Coturnix japonica: one gene and its partner. The protein of the gene in region 1 interacts with the protein of each later gene in a biochemical or structural test. Links are inferred from orthologs where the notes say so. Each region holds a gene or a part of one and is shown on either strand. Other genes may lie near its edges.

What was found.
Region 2: of the proteins of ATXN3 (region 1) and CAPN2, one has a biochemical effect on the other in vitro, tested with the Homo sapiens proteins (2 studies listed by BioGRID). The link is inferred for Coturnix japonica from reciprocal best matches to the Homo sapiens genes ATXN3 and CAPN2.

Annotation. Positions count from the first base shown.
Region 1 is NC_029520.1:40,419,020-40,430,142, forward strand, and holds the start of ATXN3 (ataxin-3), read right to left. Parts: upstream 10,229-11,123; 5' UTR 10,141-10,228; coding exon 10,117-10,140; intron 9,982-10,116; exon of another isoform or gene 9,961-9,981; intron 8,374-9,960; coding exon 8,209-8,373; intron 7,659-8,208; coding exon 7,614-7,658; intron 6,612-7,613; coding exon 6,526-6,611; intron 6,089-6,525; coding exon 6,022-6,088; intron 5,669-6,021; coding exon 5,633-5,668; intron 3,759-5,632; coding exon 3,671-3,758; intron 3,422-3,670; coding exon 3,289-3,421; intron 2,338-3,288; coding exon 2,162-2,337; intron 1,743-2,161; coding exon 1,619-1,742; intron 887-1,618; coding exon 798-886; intron 394-797; coding exon 299-393; 3' UTR 1-298. Other genes in the region: NDUFB1 (NADH dehydrogenase [ubiquinone] 1 beta subcomplex subunit 1), read right to left, coding at 10,724-10,760. UniProt on the Homo sapiens protein: Deubiquitinating enzyme involved in protein homeostasis maintenance, transcription, cytoskeleton regulation, myogenesis and degradation of misfolded chaperone substrates.
Region 2 is NC_029518.1:15,385,286-15,396,408, forward strand, and holds the end of CAPN2 (calpain-2 catalytic subunit), read right to left. Parts: intron 10,725-11,123; coding exon 10,641-10,724; intron 9,691-10,640; coding exon 9,605-9,690; intron 8,963-9,604; coding exon 8,888-8,962; intron 8,715-8,887; coding exon 8,554-8,714; intron 8,167-8,553; coding exon 7,997-8,166; intron 7,514-7,996; coding exon 7,502-7,513; intron 6,803-7,501; coding exon 6,591-6,802; intron 5,976-6,590; coding exon 5,939-5,975; intron 5,641-5,938; coding exon 5,575-5,640; intron 5,330-5,574; coding exon 5,272-5,329; intron 4,252-5,271; coding exon 4,187-4,251; intron 3,111-4,186; coding exon 3,042-3,110; intron 2,410-3,041; coding exon 2,331-2,409; intron 2,219-2,330; coding exon 2,102-2,218; intron 1,763-2,101; coding exon 1,704-1,762; intron 1,219-1,703; coding exon 1,195-1,218; 3' UTR 511-1,194; downstream 1-510. UniProt on the Homo sapiens protein: Calcium-regulated non-lysosomal thiol-protease which catalyzes limited proteolysis of substrates involved in cytoskeletal remodeling and signal transduction. Proteolytically cleaves MYOC at 'Arg-226'.

The DNA of each region.
Region 1 (11,123 bases):
GGATTTTTCAAAACGATTTTTTTTTTTAAATGCAAGTTACAGCTGCTAGATGTGTATGTTTGATGACGAGTAATTTCAGTAACTTCAATACTGTTACTCTTGTAGTAGGAGTGCTGTGGTTTTTTAGATTAGCGCCAATTTTTCGGTATTTGAAGATTCCCCCAAAACTATGAGCTCCAGCCAACCTTTCATTCCTGCTTCCACAACTCTGAAATGAACCCAGTTTGTGCAACATCCACACAGTAAAATGGTAACAGAGACGTAGTGTTTTGACAATAGAGGGGAAAAAATCATGATGTCATTTATTCTCTTCCGTACTCAAGTGGTTTCTAGCAGATTCCAGAGACATATTCATAGCTGCTTGAAGCATGTCTTCCTCACTCATATCACCTCCTAAAGGAAACAGATGTATATAAATTGTAATAAATGCACAGATTCAGTTCTTAACCATAATTAAATGCTTTAATTGCTCCTTTTGATCAGGCCTACACTTTCCCAGTCAAACTAAATAACAAAAAGCAAAGCCAGAGCTCAGTCTAATAGCTCGCCCTGGAACAAAGTACTGACATGCACAATAAAACAAACTTTTCAAGAAAGTGGTCCTTTCCTTCACTGCCAAAAAGAGCAATGGCTGTGATGCACAGTCTGAACTGCTGCTGGGCTGAGAAATAAAGCAGGTAAGGAAAGTGAGGAAGAAGAGCACAAAACAAAGGAAAATAAACTATACTGAGGTCTGTCTATTTACAAACGTAAATAAAATATATTTCAGTGTTGGAAATAAGTTTAAAAAACAGTACCTGGATCAGCTTCCAGAGTGCTTGAGTTTATAGTTGGTTTATCATGTAGGTTCAGGGTCAGATCCTGCTGCTGTAGCTGTTGTTGCTGCCTGAAATAATTACACATTTATTAGGAAGAATAACATCAGTGTGACTCCTATATCAAGTCTATTTCTTTGTTAAGGAAGGCCTAGTGTTAGATGTATAAGCTGCCATTTGAAATATTAACCCACCACACCTCCTGAAACCTCTTCAATTGTTTCCTCTGCTAAGCTTCATGTTGGGATATCTGAAATTACAAATTACAGGCCTGTTTCCCCAGAATTCAGGCATCCTGCATTAGTATCCTCTCATGCAATATCTGTCACCTCCTTTCTGCAGCATTTCTCCCTTATCTAAATTTCCTCCATCACTGGGAAGTAGAGACAAGCAAAGACTAGAATAAAACCACAAATATGTATTAAGGCAGCACTCCAGAAAAGAGGAATGAAGTATCATCTAGAAATTTTCTGTGTGATGTTCACTAGAGACATAATTACCAGGCGTCTTAGAGAACAGGTATTCTGCAGGAAAATTATTATTACAGTAGCAGAAATACTCTAACATATTTCTTTGCTTTCCTTCCTAAGACTAATGGTACACTACTAACAGCTCCCCTCTTATTTACAGGCTTCATTTCTAAAGAACGCATGGGAATAGCAAAATTGTAGCACTGCCATGAAAACAGGTTGAGGGTTAAATCAAGCTGGATCTCAGACAGAAATCCACCCACAGCCCCAAAGCACTGAACAATAAGACATTTACTTCCAAATGCAGTTTTAGTTTTCTATTGGCTACTTTACTTTTCAAAATATGCTTGTCTTCTACTGCGCAGATCTTCTGAAGAAGGAGAGTCTGTCTGACTGGTATGTGGTGGCTGAGAAGCATTCTGTGGTAACGAGTTTGAGAACTCACTTTGACGACTACCTAAAATCAGAATGAGACATGTCCGTCCTACAGTAAAATTATAGCTTTTTTCCTTAATATAAAGACAAACAACACAAAACCCAAACACATCATTCTTCAGATTCGATGGAAACAGATTTGTTAATGAAATAAGCACCTAGGCTAATTTCATAGTCATCTTCTCACCCCAGAACTGGTTCCCTTCTGCCACCTTTTGCCTACTTGTTCTTGCCTCCTAAAAATCCAGCGTTAATATTAAAGTTGTAACTTTTCAAACAGCAGAAAGGAGACACTAGAAAGTCTGGATTATCCTTCTGTGTCTCAAAGCCAGTCTTTTCAGAACCTGAAGCATTCTGAAAGCAGCTGTCTGCAGCTGGTTTCAGTAGCTGCTAAAGCATAAGCAACAAGAACACTGCAAGAGATTTAAAAAAGCACCGTACCTTGCATGCTGAGTTGAATGGCTCTACGAAGATCAGCTTCTTCATCTTCCATATCAATTTCCTGCCTACTTAGAGCCAGAGCTCTTTGAAAATTCTCCTCATCTTCATCTAACATGCTTGTCCCATCAAAAGGATGGCTAACTTCTATTGCTTGGTCCACATCACTTCTGGGTAGCCTGTGAAGTTGATGAGATTTATAACATTCAAACCACAATAATTCTTTCTTCTACTGAGAGATTTAAAGTAGTTTGTGCTGATTTAACTCTTTTTTTAAAAAAAAACTTTGGCAAAAAGTGACAATTATGATAATCAGAAATATTTTATTCCTATGTAAAAGAAAATAGCATGAAAGAACTGCAAGTACTTTTCAGCTATAAGAATGAAAATATCGACACTATGAACATATGCTTAAAGTAGATTCTCATCAACATGTACAGAAGAAACTTCAAAAGCGCTATTAAACAAATGTTCAACTCATTTGAACCTATTTCAAGACAGTTACACCCACAGATAAAAGTGCACATGGTCTCTTCCTCAGAAGTCTTTGATGATAACACTACAGCAAAACATCTTCTGTAATCTATATGTAATTTTGCATCACTTCCAAGTAGTTCACTGTTTTTATTAGATCTGTTTACAACACCGTGGTTTACTTTATGAAGTGTTAGAAATAACAATGTATTCATTCCTCAAAATTAATTCCTCTGAATTCTTCTGTCATATGATATGTAATATTCCTTTGGCCTGTTTGGATCAGCTAACCTGGTTCTGTCTCCTCCCAGCTCCTTGTGCTTCTCCCCCAGCACTTCACTGGCAAGTCAGAATGAGAAGCTGAAACATTCTTGGCTTTGTGCAGCACAGCTCAGCCACAATTAAAGCATCAGTGCGTTATCAACACTGTTCTACTCCCAAAGCCAAAACATAACATCATACTATACACTATGAAGAAAATAACTCTGTTCCAGTTGAAACTAGGTCATCAACTGATTTGGCTTTATAGTGTGCAATAGAACACATTGATCTTGAGGTACTTCTAATTACATCTTAAAGTGGTTGTTTTCATGTTCTCACTAATCATGGAAACAAATCTTACTAAACATTATTAAAAGGAAGTCTGTTTACCTTACCTCTGGTCTCTTGATTGTGCAGTCTCTTCTCCAATGAGTTTTGGTCTCTGCACTTGCTGAACTCGAATCATCTGCAACAGTTGATCAGCCTCACAGTCTGGCAGGTCACCTTTTACTACAAATATGGAATAACCTGAAAAATAGAAATCGTAGGTCTACAGCATTAGGCTGCACACATAAATTATCTGAAATGCACACTTACATGGAATACAATGATGTGCAGTCTATTAAAATATAAGGCTCAAACTCTCATTGCAAGAATTTGGGTTATTTCACTATTTCAATAACAAAACTAAGGCTAGTTAACTGAATAGATAAGTTCTAATAAATAATGATTACCTGCTTTAATTAAGGAGATTAAACATCTGCAAACTACTATTACCTTCCTGTTGTAATTGCGCCAAGAAAAGTGCAAGATATGTATCTGATATTAGTTCTGGACCCATCAAGAGAGAGTTCAAGTTAAACCACTGCAATTAAGAAAAAAAAGTTTGAGAAAATAAATTAGCATAAACATGACTCAATAATCCATTTCTGTACATTGCGGTCGTTTTCTAAAATCAAATCAAATCATCAAATAAAATAAATCAGCAAATTAAAAGTCTACTGAAGCACAGTACCTACACTGCTCAAAGTTTCCCTTCAAAAACTCTTCAGCTAACAGGAGATGTGAAACATGTAAGTGACTGCATGCTCTATCCCCTTCCTGAACACAGGCAGCAGGCAAACAGATCAAAACACAAACCTAAAGATGGCAGAAGAATCACTTCAGGCATAGTTTCAAAATACTGCTTGATCTTTCTTTTAAAACTGCTCAGAGATACATGAAGAAAGAAGCCCTTCAAAAGTTAACCCTGTATCTCAATATATTTGTAGGTACAGGAAACAGAAATTGAATTCACTCTCTTCTATTAATTAAACATGCTGCCTTTAATAGATGATGATACTACAAACTATTGTTTACAACTCTGGGAGGTAACTGTCGGACTTAAAAATTTAGAAAAATGAACTTTAAGTTTAATGTGCTACTTATACAGCATTACATTACAATGTGAGTCACTAGAGATTAATACGTATGCAGGTTACTTTCAGATGCCTGAAAACAATCCATTATATATAATATTTCCACTAGGGGGAAAATATACTCAATAAGTATGGCAAAATGAACTACCTAGTGTATTCCATTTATATAGCAATCAATTTGAAGAATATTTTTATATTCCATAGCCATTCAACATTAGCCAATTTGAATGAGAATGCACCATTTCAGACAGAAAAGTCCTATCTCTATTGTCACAAAAATGCATTTGTCTGCCCAAACTACTGTATATGAAATTCTACACTTGCAGCCAGGGCTAAACTGTAATTCACCTGGCAAATTCAAAGTCAACTATCTACCATTCTTAAATTGTCAGTCAAAAGCCCCACTTGCACTAAGATAAGGTAAAGAAAACAAACTGCGTAGGAATGGGGAAAGAATTAAAAGTTACGCAAACATAGACAGATTACTGACAAACTATAAGAAGTACAGAGGACAGAACTTTAGAGAACTAACTGTGCTTTAACTGTAACAGAAAAGCAGCAGGTGAAAGCAAAAGTCAGGCTGTTTTGTCTTTCCCTTCTCATTACTCTCTAGATAACAGAACCTTGTGTTTTCTTTCTTTGGCTACAAACCACATGAGAAAACAAAATGCATACCCCATCCAATTAAACATGTTGTAAGCTACAACAGTATCTCAAACAAATTTCAGCTGATGTGGCTGTAATTCTACCAGGGAGCTTATCCAACCCTTTAAAAGGCCATTCAGCCTTTTCAATTTCAAGCACACCAAAAAAATGCCTGTAAACAATAATCAGCCAATCTCTGAAACTACACCAGAACTGTAGAGTTTAGTTTGCTTATTTGCAGGCAAAATTATACTACTTCACACTGGATGACAACATAAGTAATCTCCAATTGGAAAATCAAATGGGCAGGAAGACTTTTGCATTCTCTTTTCTAATTTAAAAGGCTTTTGTGTTTTGTTTTTTTAATGGGACACTTTCCATGACCAGAAAAACCCAGCAACAACAAAAAAAAATATCAAACACAAAGAAAATCAACCCCAAAACACTGCACTAAACTAACTAATTTATGTTGTATAAGAGCTTTGCACTACAATCCAGAACAATGGCTGGCTACTTAAAGACAGACTGCACTGACATTATAAGAGATCTGTGTGTGATTTGTGTTGTTATACAGATACTACACATGTGTATGGCCATAACCTTTAATAGTTATTTCCTGCTAATAATCCAGCTGCTTCAGATAGATTTATACAATAGTGAAAATTTTTGACTCTACCTTGCTCTGCCTTATCCCTTGGATACCCTTAAATACCTGCAATTATTAATATTTATTAGTGCAACGGAACTTTGCAATCATATTTTTTTTCTGTTATTTCACACACAGAAAGAACTAGAGAACGTAAGAGCTCACAAGGGCTGCCTCAGCTACCGTTTCCTATAGGACAGGTTCACAAGCAAATTGATCCTGGGATGTTTCCCTAAGGAAAAATGCAGGGGAAGCTGCCTGGCATTTCTGATATAGCAAACATTTACTCATTTATTTATATCTACTATTAAATCAAATAGCAGAAAAAGCCTGCAAATGGCCAACATATGGTCTACTTGAAACCACTTCTTCCACCCCCAATCTGAAGTCAATTTTTAAATAAAGAAAGACAGTGTCACCTGTTTTCCTAACTTTCGAACTGTAAACCAGTGTTCCTTATAATTACAAATAAATGATTTTTCATTTCTGTAAAAAGAAAAACAAAAGGTATAGATAAAATTAAATAATATTGGAGTGCATATTAATGTTTTAAGTTCTTTGCCACCAGTAATTTAAACTTACAAAACAAACTTTCAGTAGTAAAACTGCTGATTTGGTGCTACAGAGGTACTCATACTGCTTTCATAACTTATGGTTATATCATTTCATCACATCAACATTACTGAAATCTCATAAACCTGATGCTACAGACATTGAGATGTCACAAAGGCACAAAGGAGAGGTGCTTATATACACCCTCAAAAGAAGAAAAAACATCAAAGGGTCAGGGTGTAAGAAAATAAACACCAGAATGCAACAGAGCTTAAATACTGATTTTAAAGAAACAAGTAACTGTTTTTCAGTATTTTTCCTAAAATTAAAGGAAACTCTGCTTAAAAAACGATGATAACAAAAAGTCTTACATAGGGTCGATCCCAAGCCTCTGATACTCTGGGCTGTTGAAGAGGATTAGTTCTAAACCCCAAACTTTCAAGGCATTGCTTATAACCTGTCAGAACAAACAAATGAACAGAAAAACCAACAACACCTTTTATGAGTCAAACCTATCCAATCCAACTTGAGCAAGAGCAACCGCTTTAGCTACTATAAACACTTATATTATTCTCATTAAGCTTTGATCTTAAAATCCTGCAGGGAAAATTAGGAATCACATTATTCAAAATGCCACCATCATCAATCTATGTGCAAATATAACATGCCTACCAAATCTAAGGGGGAGTATCAAAGTTGTGATTTAACTAAGACACGTTAATAAACTCACTGCTCCACTCAAAGCTGTAATTTCACCTCCCACAACTACTGCTTAAGTTGTCATCTCGTTGTTCTCCAGGTACCTCTCCTGTCTGCCCTCTCCTTGTAGTGCAATGTCATCAGCTTCACCAGCTTAGTGTTCAATACCACTGTTTTGGTTTGGTTAACGTATTTCCTATTAATTATTTTCCCATTACATTCCTTTAAAAGCAAAACAAAAAAAACGAACAGAAAAACCCACAATTCAAAGTGCCCTGAAAGAACTGTAAAAACTGGATCACAGATACTGCAGCTTCTCTCATTCTGCAAATCATGGCAATAATTCTGTAACCTCTGCCAAAGACTTCACAGTCTATAATTTGAGAAGACAATCTCGAGTCTCTTTTTTTCACCTGTATCCCATAAAAAGCGATTTGGAAAGCAAGCTTATTGCTAGCAGGTATGAGGGAGTCTATGCTTTGACTCTTTATTTAAAGACCCATAAACTGAATTATAGAACTGCTCAGGTTGGAAATGACCTTCAAGATCATCAAGTCCAACTGCAACCAAGCCATACTACCCTAAAGAACAAACACAAGTCACCACTGCTCTTAATGTAATTCAAGATTCAAGTCTAACCATTAATGTCATTAAGCCTATAAAACAGAAACTAGATAATAGGTCAATGTCATTTAAATTGTATGACAACACATACATTCCATAAAGAAGAAAAAAATTGCCAGTCTAGGGCACATCTTACTTGAATTGAGAAGAATCCACTGTCATCCATGTTTACAGAAGGCTGCTGCTCAGCATATGAGGTTGGAGGAAGGAAAGTTAAAAGTTGTGTCAGCATAAAAGTTCAGAAAGAATTTCACTTAAAAATAATAATAATAATAATATGACTGTACATACATAAAACAACAATGAAATATATTTTACTCTGTATGCTGATTACAACACCAACATTTGCATTTTTGTTAATAACTCAAACTTTTAAGCTGCAAATACTTACTGCTTAAAGGACAGACATGTACAGGGAATTCTGTTACCGTCTCTACCCCTGGCTTACTAAAACAAACAGTCAATCTCTTAGTCTTCTCCTTGCCATGCCTAACCATCTTACCCTTAAGATGAGGAGATAAGGTAACACGGCCCCCTGTAGAAGCACTATAAAGCTGTACAAATAACACTAAAAACCTCAAACCTGAAATGCCTGAATGAAAATATCAGCAAACTTCCAAAACATCAGCACTAGAAAATGAATCTTCTGTAATTATGCAGGCATAGCAGGCCTTTGCTATACAATATTAGATTTTAAGAAGACATCATGCAACGTCAAGTTAAGATTTTACCTGTAAAAATGTTCTATATTCTTCGCTAGACACTCCTCCCTCTGCCATTCTCATTCTTTCTTCCTCATCCAACTGCTGTGCAATGGAGGATAGCTCAACCGGACTGAAGTACTCTCCTTGTAGCAAATTATTCAGACAGTGTTGAGCACATAATGAGCCTTCTTGCTAATATTAGGAAAGGAAAAAAACACCACTATGTCAAAAGCAATAACATATAGATGTTAATGACGCACTCTGCAGAAACATTCAATGATTTCATTCCAGCCCCCACTTCCCAGAATACTGTATTTTTTTCCATTTTTATTACAGTGTGAGCTGTAGAATACATTCCTATGTTCCATTAATCTGACGATGGAAAAGAAAACAAACATATTTCCTGGAAGAAAATAAATTCTAAGTGAAAATGTTTTGGGAAACAGGGTAAAAATCACCTACAGTTTGTCCAAGTCACACAAGTACTTTGCAACCATCAGGAGAATCGATTCCGCTCCCTTCAAATCATCACTGTATGAAATAAGAAACTCATTCTTTTCTTTTTTAAATCTCTAATTCCCATTAACAAATATTCTCCACAAGGGACACTCTTTTTCTTTGTTAAACTTGTGTTCCCTATGAGGTTTGGGAAATATCTGCTTTCCACATGTGGCTAAAGAAAAACAGAGCATTGAGACTTTGCAAAAAGAGGAATTACAGTTTCCCATGAAAAACAATCCCTCTCTAAAAAATAACAGGCGAGTTAGTTAACCTACGAGTGCAAGACAAGTTTAACATCAGCTATAAAAAGCAGCTTTCCTCTTTGCATCAATGCTTGTTTATATTAACATTAAGAATGTGCATTAGGACAAAGGTGTTGGAAACAAAACAAAATTGTCAAAGAATTAAAACTCCACAGAAAGTAAAGAATACAAGAGTGTGCCTTGTAAGAATGTTATTTAAATGTCCACTCTTCCATCATACAAGTCAGGTGCACAAATCTCCCTTGGTCTCCCTCACAGCAGGATCCCTGAAACTTTATAGATTACAATCCCTTCTGAAGGTACCACCACTCAACTGAATATTGAGTTCAAGCTGGACAGGCTGTACAGCCTAAGTACAATGGAATTCAAAAGTCTCATCTTTCACAGCTTCTCCAGCTTGTGTTTATCCCACAAAAAGAAACTCCAGACTAAACAGCAACTCCTGCCCTGCTGGAAGCACGTTCCTGCTGCTGGCCCCATGACACAGCTGAGACCTGCCAATGGTCACAGATTGTTTCCACCAGAAGCATATGAAATAATTAGGAACAAATCAAGCCTGGGATAACTTTGTTAAAATGAGTCATGTTACAAGTTTAGGCTCTAATTTCTTTGAAAGGGCCCTTCTGTACTGATGTAATAACTTATTAAAAGCAACAACAAAAACCCACTGAACTGTACAGCTAACTCTATTTATTTGTTAACTAAACCAACTACTACGCATAAGAACAACGGACAGAAACCAGTATCACCTAAACAGATCCCACAAAACAATACAAAAATATCAGCAAAGCTGCAGAGTGACCGGCAAAGCAGATAAAGGGCACTGTAGTGTAACAACAGAGGTCGCAGGCAGCTGCTACGTGTGAGCCCTGACACAGCACAGCAGTTTCCAGAAGCATTTGTTCTCCCAACAGGAAGCTCAGCTCAGCTCAGCACTCGATGCCGTCCCTCACAGCGCCGCACACCCACAGCGGGCAGATTTGGTGTCCGAGCTCACGGAACCCGCCCCACGTACCGCTGCTCGCCTTCCTGCTCGGCCACAGACGAGAAGCAGCCCCGCCGGAGATGGGGCAGGGGAACAGGGCAGCCCCAGAGCAGCGCAAGGCCGGGAGATACAACTGCCGCCTCCCCAGAGCGCAGCCCCGCTCCCGCCCCACAACACCTCACTCACCCGCTCGTGGAAGATCGACTCCATGTTTATTATCAACGGCACGGCCTCCGCCTCACATGACCCGCGCAGCCAATCGCGGCTCGCCTCGCCGTGCCGCAGCAGCGCCCCCTGGCGGCGGGAGGTCCGGGCAGCTCGGCAGCACGACGCGCTTGCGCAGTTCTGGAGCAGCCGGAAACGTGCGGTCCTTCCTTCCGTGTGGCGGTGAGTTAATAAAGCGCCATGTGTGAGGTACCGCCTCGGTTAGCTCATAAACCACCTATAAACGCATTAATTCCACACCACACAGACTAAGAAAAAAGGAAATTATTTTTGCATAGTTTTTTTTTTTTTTTCTTTATTACATGACGTCTTTTCTCCCCCAACTCCAGAGCGGAACCTCTGGGGGCAGATATTTCTCAATTCCATGGGCTTCACAGAATCAAAACAGCTTTATAATAGATCACCTTCCATAAAGTAACAATAGGAATTAAAGTAGCAGTGACAAACTGTAGGTGTTCTATTCTGTAGCTTGGTAGGGTCTCAGGAGAAAAAACATAACCATATTGTTTCAATGCATGAGATCAGGTGATGAACAGAGCAGAAAGTTTCCCCCATTCATTAGCAGCCTTTATTTCCAGGTCTTTTCTTCGCCGGGTCTCAGCTCCCTGTGTGGAAAGAAAACAAAGGGTGGAGGCTAAAATTAGGATAAATGGTGTGGGATAATTAACAAGCATTTAAAATGATTCTAGAATCACAGAATCACACAGAATCACAGGATGACCCGGGTTGGAAGGGACCTCAAGGATCATGTAGTTCCAACCCCCCTGCCTGGCAGGGCCACCAAACATACACATTTACTAGATCAGGTTGCCCAGGGCCCCATCCAACCTGGTCTTGAACACCTCCAAGGACGGGGCATCCACAACCTCCCTGGGCAGCCTGTTCCAGGGCCTAACCACTCTCCTAGTGAAGAACTTCCCCCTAACATCCAACCTAAATCTTCCCTCTTTTAACTTAAAACCATTTCC
Region 2 (11,123 bases), on another chromosome or scaffold:
TTGGTAATAAATGCTATGTAGTAGGAAGTACCAAGTCTTTCCTCAAAGGTAACACATTAGTGATGTACCTCTGCCTCACCTTCAGGCTTGTGCTTTCTTAAGGGTAAGTTCTTGTTTCTTTTACTTGAGAAAGAAGCTGTAAAAAGGAAACAGATTCTCAAGTGGATGAAGTTATGTCAGCTGTGGTGAGAACTCTGCTTGCATTCACAGCCTTGTTGTTTTAATAGGTCAGGTATGGGGTATATATAGGAGTGATCATCTTTCTTGAAACCATAGTTTTTCAAGAATTAATCTTTTAAAGTGTCAGGCTATCTAATACTGCATTAAGAGAGAGACATTCAATGTCTGTTAGTGCCTAATCAGCTCCAGAATGTGGTTTGTGTTTTTTTTTTCCATATTAAAAGGCAGCTGGTTCTGTTCTGGACAACTGAAGCTCTGCATGTATTCTGCAAGACTCTCTCCCAGAAAAGAAATGTTGCTCGTTTTCAGAAACAATAAGGATCTTGCAAGCCTTGTTTTCTCTGTTATCTTTTTATTTAAATACTTGTATTTCAAAGGAAGATTTAAAAAGATACAGGAACTCAAGAGCTGGGAGCATGTGCTTTATCTGGTGAGAGCTGAGTTACCAACAGCCTTTTCCTGCTCCAGGGATATCAATGGTCAAGATGCAGAGTCTTCAGATTGTTTAAACGTGTTACTTGCTACTCGAGTCCTTCAAAAATTATTTAACCTGAATGAATAATACCATAGCTTAACAGGAAGCATGCGGGGCCCCAGGTCTTACCTGAACACCTGTGTTCTGAGGGGCTGCAATACCATCCCCTTTCAGATAGCAGCACCACAAGGTCCCGCATATTACAGAAGCCCTTAATCAAGCAAAATAATCTTTCTTCCCACACTATATAGGAAGATATTGGTAAAGAAATATTTTCAAAAGTTGCACTTAGGATTTATACAGTAATAAAGCTGTACAGAGGGTATATAGGATTATATAAAGACTGTTAAACCTATTAAACAAGGTTGCAGATTCTTCTGCTGTGGAATTAGCTCTTTCCTCCTTGTAAGCATGTGCAAAGTTCCCATTTGCAAGTTAAGGCACGTGTCATTTAGCATATATGTATTTTTTGCTTTGTATTCTGTTTATCTTCACCTGATCTTCATCTTTTTGAAGCATCTTGGACTGATGGCAGTAGTTCAAATGACAGTGAAGAGGAGCCACTATGAGAAACAAAGATGGCCTGAAGTTTAATGAAAAATACCCAGAGAAAGTATGTGTGTTTCTATTTCCACTGTGAGGAGTGTAAATAGAAGACACTTTAGATAGTTTGTTTTCTCCTAGTTCTCTACAGGACACACATAATGGTGGAGAAAGCATGTGTAATCCATCCTGTGAGTACTCATAAGCCTATATTTGATTCTGTTATTGATAGAAGAGGCAGGGAAGAGACCTACACAAGTTTCAGCCAGAATTACTTCTGGTAAATGTGCGACTTTTGGTTAAAAAATTACATCTTATTTGGGACTGGCTATAGGTACAGCTTAGAAAAGGATGTTTCTCAAAACAATTACACGAGCGATATAAATCTAACATATATGAGAACAGATACCCAGCCATAACTAGTCAGAATAGAGTGGAATGCTCTTTGCTGTGAACTCCCTCCACCTTCTAAATAAAAGAATCTTCCAGAGCTGAATGCACTTACGTTAATGAGGTTCAGTTCTATTGTTCCAGTTTTCTCAGTATCCAGTTTTCTAAACATTTCTGTGGAATGACAGATGATAGAAAAGAATGAATATAGGGACCAGCTGGAAAGATTTCCTCTTCCCCATGCTTCAGCTCAGAGATGAGTTTATGACAACAGACTTCACCCCCAAGTTGAAAAGTACCACTGTGAAACCATCCCACTAAAGACAGAAATGGACACTGGCTTTACAGATACAACAAGAACTACTTGCCAAATAGGCAGAAAAAGAGACCGGACAGTTGTAGTGGTTCTATCTGTAATATTGACAAACGTTAATTTAAAACAGCTTTCAGCATCCAGTGGCCTCATAGTGAAAAGGCAAAGCAACAGAGTTTGGTTTTTAAACCTGTACTCACTGAACAAGGTTTCCAGCCGAATCAAGCACCGGACAAAGTTATCAAAGTCAATGATGAGGTCTTCATCAGCAAACCGAGCCACAATGATTTGATGTAACTGGCAGTTCAACTTGAACCCTATATAACACCAAGGATTGGGTGAAAAAAGAGCTTAGAAATCATGTACTGGAGTGTGGTGAGTATCTGCCACCCCAGCTTGGAAGTGCTATAATACTTAAAGGACAAATACCTGCAGCTTCCAGCGCTCTCCTCATCTCATATGAATTCATAGTTCCAGATCGATCCACGTCAATTTCCCTGTAAATTTTCTACAGGACACAAAACCCAAAGTCAAAACTTGTCAACAGTTCAGAGTGCTTTTTGGCTTTGGACAGCCGAAAGAGAGTAAAGAGAAGCTGGCAGCTGTGGATGCTGAGGACTAAAACTGGGGAACTGAGGATGTACAGAGGCTGCAGGAGACACATCGTGCACCTTTCTACTGGTGTCGCAGCACTGGGATGCATGGCTGTCACCCAACTCCTGGTGGCCTCAAGCAGACAGCACAGGGCTTCCAAGCAAAACACTTCAAGCCAACTAGATTGTTTTCCTGCTACTTTGTGTTCTGTAGAACTCTAGAGGGGGGGGGTTTGGTTGCTCTCTGGGTTTGCCAGGCAGTTGACCAGCTTCAATTAGTGCTGATGTGGGCATTAAGTAACTGGGCCTAGTACATATGTTCAGCTGCAGTTCTTGGGTTTCCCTTTCCAGTCTGTTCTGATTCTCTGAAACTAAGAGGATCACCAGCAGGGAAGAGGCTTCACCTCCCTCAGAGTGGAAACAGTGATCATGCACAAAGGAGCTGCATGTCAAAATTTACAATTAAAATCTCTAATAGCTGTATATTGTATGAGGCAAAACAATCCATATTTTATTATATGTCCTCCCCAAAAAAGTTATGTCTTACCTGATATTTCTGAATCTTTGTCCAGAGTGTGTGGAACTCCTTCAGCCCCAGCTTTCCACTCCCATCGTTCTTGTTGGAGTCAAGGTAATTTCTTTGGAAGTCAGAAAAAGGTTTTTCCCTCTCTGTGCTGGGCTAATTAACACGAGCACTTGTGACTTAATTTCATTTTTTGATAAGTATTAAGAAAAGGATATAAGTCCTCTCTAGAGTTTATGTTTCTGTTTGTTTCCTTTGCTTAAACAAGCCCATCCTGTTGGATACACAAACTATTCTCCAGGGCTTCTTGTCTTTCTAATCAATAAAGTGGCTGATTTGTTTAAACTGTGATCAGCTCACAAGCCCTTCTTGCTTCTCCTCTGCCTTTTCAATACATGCATAAAGCAGCAGATGTGATGCCATTTTGCTCTCCATAGGTTCAACACCTGCAGTTGCAGGAGTGTTTAAGTCTAGGTTATAAACAAGAAAAGACACAACCAAGCCTGCTATTTAGAGAACTCTTGCACAAACAGCTAACAAAAGTACCTGGCCATTCATTGCTTCCCTCCCCAAAACCACTAAGTAGTATGGACTGCTAACACAAAATTTGAGCAGATAATCATTTTGTTTGGTAATTTTCCATTTGTTTCTGAGTACACAGTTCGACTCCCACTGAACAGAGAAGCTGGATGTGACTATTCTTAGACCCGAGTCCTTCATCCTACACTTTTGTGCTTATTCTTGGATGTAGACACTCCTAAAACTCAGCCTGGTTCCCGTTATTTGCTTGCTTCATTTCTTGTTTACTAAGTCTTTATGGCTTTACAATGCCTTCCGCAGCACGAGCCAGATAGCAAAGTGTGAAAGTACAGCCAGCTGTGTGCATCTTAACTACCAGCCAAGGCTGTCCACACCCTGTTGCCAGCAAACCTTACTTTGGCATCAGCTAAACCATAATAAACAGATGGGCCTGTCTGGAAAAGGAGTTCCCCACTGCCTGAGAGAATGTGTGTGCCATGGTCAGTGACCAAAGCAAGAACTGCAGTTTTATATGGGGGGACCAGTGCAAAAAACAACTGATCTGCCTCAGGAGGCATTGAGCTCACAAAGGCAGCAGCTCACCTACTTCAGGCAGAAAAATAGCATCCTGAAACAGCTCTAAAGGATACATCTAGCAGATCAACCATTATTTTGCATGTCTCGATGCTAAAGCCATCAGATTTAATATCTTGACCTGTAAAGAAAGAGCAAGAGATGGGATTAAGGCTGCACGCTGTACCACAGGACTTTCCTCCATTGCCTGGGAGCTCTGTAACCAGCGTACACACCTCCATCCTTAACTACATGTCTCTTTAGGGACTTCCTTTGAAACTGGCAAAATGACCTTTTCTTTTCAGTGCATTTTTTGTTTCTCCATAATTTGTGCTTAGCACTTTGCCTTGTCTGTGGCAGGTTGGTTACTCAGTGGTAATCTGGCATCTCCTTCAAATCTGCCCTTGTGAAGAGGAGTTCTATCATATGGCTGCCATGGTCTGGGCCAAAGCAGCACAGGAATGCCTGCCTGCTGCTCTGAGACTTATTAACAGCATCCTCAGCCTTTGGGATCTAGCAATTGCACTGGTACCCCTTCTAAGGTAAGCTAGTCCTTAGAGATAGTTCTGGTGTTGTACAAGAGACGGACATGGCACTGAAGCAGGCAAATGGATGCTAATGAACAGCCCTCTTTTTCCTGACAGAGAGACTTTAGGGTGAAGGTTTGCTGTGATATTTCCTCAAGCAAACAGTCCAGTTAGACTGGTTTGTAGGTATGCTGCAGAAACAAGAGACAAAGATAAAGCCTTCCTGAACTTGTCTGCTTACAAAGATAGTGGACAACATGGACTTTTGACTTGTGGAGGTCAACACTGGGTAGCCTCGTTCATCCTATCAAGCTTGGTAACCAGTAACACACCATTGCTAACTGGCTGATGCATGTAGCACAGCCCTGGCTTCCTAGCTGAGATTTCACTTTGGAAATTAAGTAGGATTTTTTCTCCAGGCTCAAACGCTGGAATAAAAGGCACCTGTATGCAGCAGGCATGCAAACATACCCCACAAGAGAATGCACCCTGTGATATGTGGGCACAGCCCAAGTGTTTCTGCAGCTCTCTGAGCCTGCAGGGCATGTGGCCCTGGCCATGTGAAGAGAGAATCTCTCACAGCCTCTCTGGGAGCCTGTCTGTGTCCTGAAGCACTGCTGGGGGCAGGTACTTACGTTTAGCCAAGATTTTATTCAGGATGTTGCGCAGCTCGAAGGCAGAGATCTCTGCATCCTGCAGAAAAGAGGAAAATAAGTTCTTCAGTGGGAGACACAGGCACTGTCTCATAAGCAGCCTCCTCATCTTTTGGGATTGATGGTCAAGATCAGCATCCCTCAGTGTTTCTGTCTGATGTGGGTGTGCCCTCACCATGAGACCCATTTGGGAAGTCTGGATCCACTGGCACCAGTGACTGGGAGCAGTCCCTCTTGCACACTCACCCCTGCCACCCCTGTAAGACTTAACCATGAAATACTCACATTTCCTGCCAGCTGCCCAAAAAGCTTTTTGAAGCTTGGTTCAATGTCATCTTCACTGATCTCAGTCTAGAAGAGAGAGAGAGAAATACAGAATATGGGAAGAAAGCACCTGATCCTGGGTACCTGGAGTGCCCAAGATCCCACCTCAGAAAAGAGGCAACGTTTGTTTCCATTATTGCTTATAACGTTTCTGCTCACATTTCTGGACATTAAATTATGTATATCCAAAATTATCCAAATTGGGATACGTTTTTGGTAATGCCTGCAGCAAAATGTCATCTGCTTGGGATGCACGGGGAGAAAGATGGTCCAATCCCATTTATTTATGACAAAGTTATCTCGATTTAAAATATTTAAAACATACCTCTTCAAAATTGGCCTCTATTTCATCATCTATAACCCTAGAGAGATAAGGAAGTTGATATTAAAAACAAAATAAGCCACTTCTCTGATTCAGTTACATTAAGATCCAGATTCTTTGAATTACAGAAGTAACAACGCATGTTCAAATCTGACAGGTTGGTGGAGTGAACCACAGACTGACATAGCAGTATTCTCATTGGTGTAAAGAATACGCAAGGGGAGGAAGGTTAGTGCTTGCAGTGAAGGAGGCAAGTTGCTGTGAAAGATCTCCCACCCCTTCCCAAGGCCCCAGCCCATGTGCTGTATAGGATAAGCCACATCTGCAGCCAATGGTGTGCTTTGAGCCAGCTCTACTAAAACCCAGCTCAGTGTTCTTAGAGGCAGCCGCTGACTGAACAATTTTCTTGGCTTATTTCCCAGCATGATTTCAGAGGTGTGGGCTCTTTCTCATAGTCGGTGCGCTCACCACCAATGCAAAGCACGTCTTTATGTGACTTTCTAGTTTCCATGGATCAGCTTGGGCTGCAGGACCCAGCTGGCTACAGTCCAAAGACTAAAAGCATCTATCCAGACAGAAACTGCTGTAAAATAAACAACAATGGTAACAAACCATCCCATTCCCAGTCAATCCTCTGTGGTACAAAGCTACATACTTTGAGTTTGCATTCTTTTCTGAGAAGACTCGGAGGCAGAAGTCTCCATTCAAGTTGGGTTCAAAGGTAGAGGGCACAACGATGTATTCTCCTGCGGGGAGCTTGAACCGGTTCAGCACTTCCCGGAGGTTGATGAAGGTGTTGGATTTTTCTCTCGCTTTGTTAGTCAGGAAAAAATTTTTGCTCAGATGAATATTCGTCTGGCCAGAAAACTTATGGAAAGCAAGAAAACAGAGAAAACCCATCATTTGCATGTATTTGTTCTCTTTTAAGTTACAGACACAATAGAGATGGCAATTAGTGAGGTGTGAAGAGAAAAATGTATGTTCCATCAGAATGAAAGAGAAAAGAGAAAGGGAGTGAGTGTCTCACACCGCAGTACTCCTGTGTTACAGACCATCTCACTTCAGCATTTAGCTAATGCTTATGTTCAGCAGACTGAAGAACTCTGACAACTTTTTGGAGACCAACATTATCTGATAGTGACAGGACAAGGCAGAATCTGAAAGAAGTTACATGTTACGGGGAAATCTTTCACAAAGAGGGTGGTAAGGCACGGGCAATGCCCAGAGAAGCTGTGGTATGAGAATGGACACCTCTGTGGAGTATTAATGGTGTCAGGCATGACCTCTGCAGGCCAGGAGCAGGTGTGGGCCTGTGCTGGGAGAAGAGCCATGAAGGAACTGCCCTTATGAGTTTCTGCTGTACTGCGAGCTCTTACCCGAACCCAGGATGTTTTGAAAATGCAATACAGGCTCAAGCCCACCTCAGAATAAACAGCCACTAACTTCAGATTCTGCATAGCCCAAATGGTCCTTCAGGGAAGGAGGATCCTCTCAACTGTTTCTGCCCACAGAGCTCAGCCTCAGAGCTGCACCTTGAACCCTTCAATGCCACCGCATGCTACGTACCTCTGGGGGCACCTGCAGGGAGAAAAGCACATTTAGTTGTGTGCTGCAGTGCTGCTCACTGGCTGCAGCTACAGTCCTGACCTGAGTCCCCATCTTTGCAGCTTTTTTTGGTTCCATGTAGAACCATAGAATACTATAGCTGGTAGAAGCCCCTATGGGTCATTGGGTCCAGACCCCCCACTCAAATCAAGGCCAGTACTGAAGTTAGATGGGGCTGCTTGGAACCTTGTCCTGTCTGGGTGTGAATGTCTCCAAGAACATGGCTTCTGTAATCTCTCTGGATGGCTGTCCATGTGCTTGACCACTGCTTTGATAGAGGACAATTTTCTAAACACCTGAATGGAATTTTCACTCAGGCTACTGGTATCTGATTCAGCTCTGATGAGTTTGGGTTGGAAGCCCAACTCTACTCAGGTAGGGCACAGAAGGAACTGGTACTTTGCTGGGTTAATAGAGCGAGAGATCTTTCCTTTTCCTTCCATTTATCTTACTTGCCTCATAAATTGCAAAGCCAATGGTATGCATGTCCTCTCCCATCTTCCTCTGCTTCCTCCGATGCTTCTGAATTAGGCCAATGAGAAATGTGCAGCCCCCCTCAGGATCGTCAGGATCCTCATCTTCTTCCTCCAGCTTGATTAAATACTGTGGATTCATCCAGAAAGTGTCTGCAAAAGGGATTTATGAAAACTGCTCAGAGCCTTCTTTGATAAACACATGCCAACTAGGACAGACACAGCTTCCAAATTAAGCTGTGACCACTGCTTCCCTCCCAGCCTCACATCCACAAGTAGACCCTCATTATAGAGCCTTGTCTTCCATGCACTTACACTTCCTGGATATCAGTCCCTGATACTTCCAGAAAGTCATAAGCCACCCCAGACCAGTAAACATCAAGGACAAGGCATGCAGGGCTGACCAAAGCCAACACTGAAGTCAATGTAACACCAGACTCAGAAATGTTTCTCACCACTGTGCCACTGGGGCTGTGGCTTCAACCCAATCCTTTACACTGCAGAATATCCAGAGCAACAAGTGGATGAGCACACTCTTACTTGGGTAATTCCTGCAGCCCCCTGCAGTAGCTCCTCGTCGCCAGTTCCCATCCAGCTTCAGCAGGCTCCACTTCTTGTACCTGTCACTTGCCAGAGTGTCTGGAGTCAGATTGCAGATTTCCAGGCGGGAGTAGTGCCTCAGGAAGTCATTGAAGGCCATCCTGGGAGAAGCAATGCCATCTCTTTATGATGCACAGTTTCCAGACAGCCATTGTCTGTCTAATCCCTCTACTGCAGCAACTTAGCACTGGGATTTGGGGTGAATTTGCTCACTCATCTTGGAGAGTGCGGTGGGAGAGGGTACTTTGTGTGGGAAAGAGGCTCATTCGCTTACCAGAACTCCCCATCTTCATGTCTCCTTGTCAGCCGCTCCCGCACATCTGGGTCAACACCATTCCAATTTGGGCAGCTGAAAGACAAAACCACATTAACTGCAGTTTAAAAAGCTAAATCTTAATGTAGCTGGTCTGGCAGGACTCAGTTTTTCACCCAGCTCTACACAATTGCAATAACTCCATGACACCCAGCTAGAAGCAGCTCTAGGGCTCTCAAACAACAGCAGAATTGAAATCTGGGGACATTCAGACATTAGGTACCTGGCCTCTTAAAATGCAAGGCAGAAGTTTTATTTTCACAAAGTACTGATGCCTCGACTGAAACAGAGCAGGAAGACCCAGAGTAAATATAGTACATAAACTCCAGCTTCCACTGCTAACAACAGAAATGCATTTTTATGGCCTTTATATAAAGTAGGTTTTCAGAAGCTCACCACTGAATCTGGGCTGTTAAAAAAGCAGAAACTACAAAAAGACTTGCAGGAATCACAAACCAAATCACTTCATCTAGCCCAAAAGCAGGTGTTTGTGCAGAGGGCACTACAAGCATGGGAGACACAGTGGTGGGATGCCTCTTTTAACCAGCTCAGAGAGAACATCACATGCAGACATTACATGAAGTGAAGCTGGAAATAGGGAGACCTCAGAGGAAAACGGGAACGCAACCATTTCCCTGCAGTCAACACCTATAGGCAACATGCAAACCGTTGACTCACTTGTCATTCCATCTCCCTGTCCACTCCACTTCTCCCCAGGGATTTCGGATTCTGATGAGCTTCTGGATGCTTCCACGGAAGTTCACCTGGTGGGATCAGAAGAGCATGGAAAGTCACCCAAGGACTCAGCTCTGTGTTCTCTTCCATTTTTTTTTTTTTAATTTGCCCATTGCTGTGCACATAGAACCTGACACAAACAAAGCTCTATGACAGCCAGAGGGAACAGCCATTGTTTATGAGGAACACACAGATCTGGAGGCAGGAGCTGGGGCATTACTAGAGCCCACAGCCAAGGAAACAGAGGAGAGCGGGCAGAGCAGAGCACCAAAGTTCAAGGATGGGGTTCTGCAATGAACTCTTCATACAAAGCCTGCAAACATCTCTGAAGGAGAAGCTTGCCTATGTCTTTTTGTGAATTAAGGTCAAATCCCTCCTGATTCTTCTTCTATGAGAGGAGGACCAAGTGCATGCACCCCAACCTGCCTGCAAGCACTGCTCACCTCCCTGCAACATGCCTATGGCTGGGGACTCACCACGCCTTACTCTGCCATTCTAGAGATACTTCAGAAATAACTGCTGGAGTCAACAAATGTCCTTTACACATATGAAGGACACCATGACCTGTCTGCTTCCTTTTGGTTTTGCTCACCTTGCCTTTGTTATCACCTACTCTTGGCTAAGCACCTGGCTTTCACACATGGTGCTCTACTGAAAGATGCTGATTGCTGTTATTTAATACGTAATAATATATATTTTTTTGCCTGGTGTGTCTCACACATCTTGCCATGCACTCAAGGTGCTATCCACCAGAGGACAGTGTGCCCTCTGCAGAGAGCTTTCCCAAGAAGTTAAGTTTGTGTTTACCCAAAACAGAAAGATTAACTCGCTATTTCTTCAGGCAGAAGTGACTCAAAAAGCTGGCTCTGCAGAGACTGAAGAATTTTTGGCTATGAAGACCAATCTGTTGCTGCCACAGCTCAGGGAAGACCACATATGGGGCTGTCTGCATTAGTATGTGTTGGGGCACAGCACCTACCTCCTCTGCCCCAGTGACGGAGTACGCGTGTCCCTTCACCAGCTTCTGCGATGTGACTGCCTCCGTCTCAGCTGCACTGGTGATCTGTAAGAGCAAAGAAGCTGTTACAACACTTGAGTAGTCTGACCTATGAACACTGCAAAGAAAATCACTTCTCGCAAGAAAGTGGCTGCTTGACATCCTGATTTAGAGCTTCTTCAACCTCCATTAAACATGTTTGTCACTCTCCTTCCTCCTTTTCAGAAGGTATGTGGTCTTCAAACAAGGATACTTGAAGCTTAGAGATAGAAAAATAAAGAGGAAGGGGGTGGGATCAAGCAGACAGAATTCCTGTTGCCGTTTCATGCCCTGTTGTTACTACAGGGCATTATATTGCTTAACTTCTGTTCCATTTTATCTCTGACAGACCAGAAGAAAAGAGTTTACAGGATTTTTCAAAGAACAAACTCACTAATAACTACTTTATAATGTATAAAGCACTCA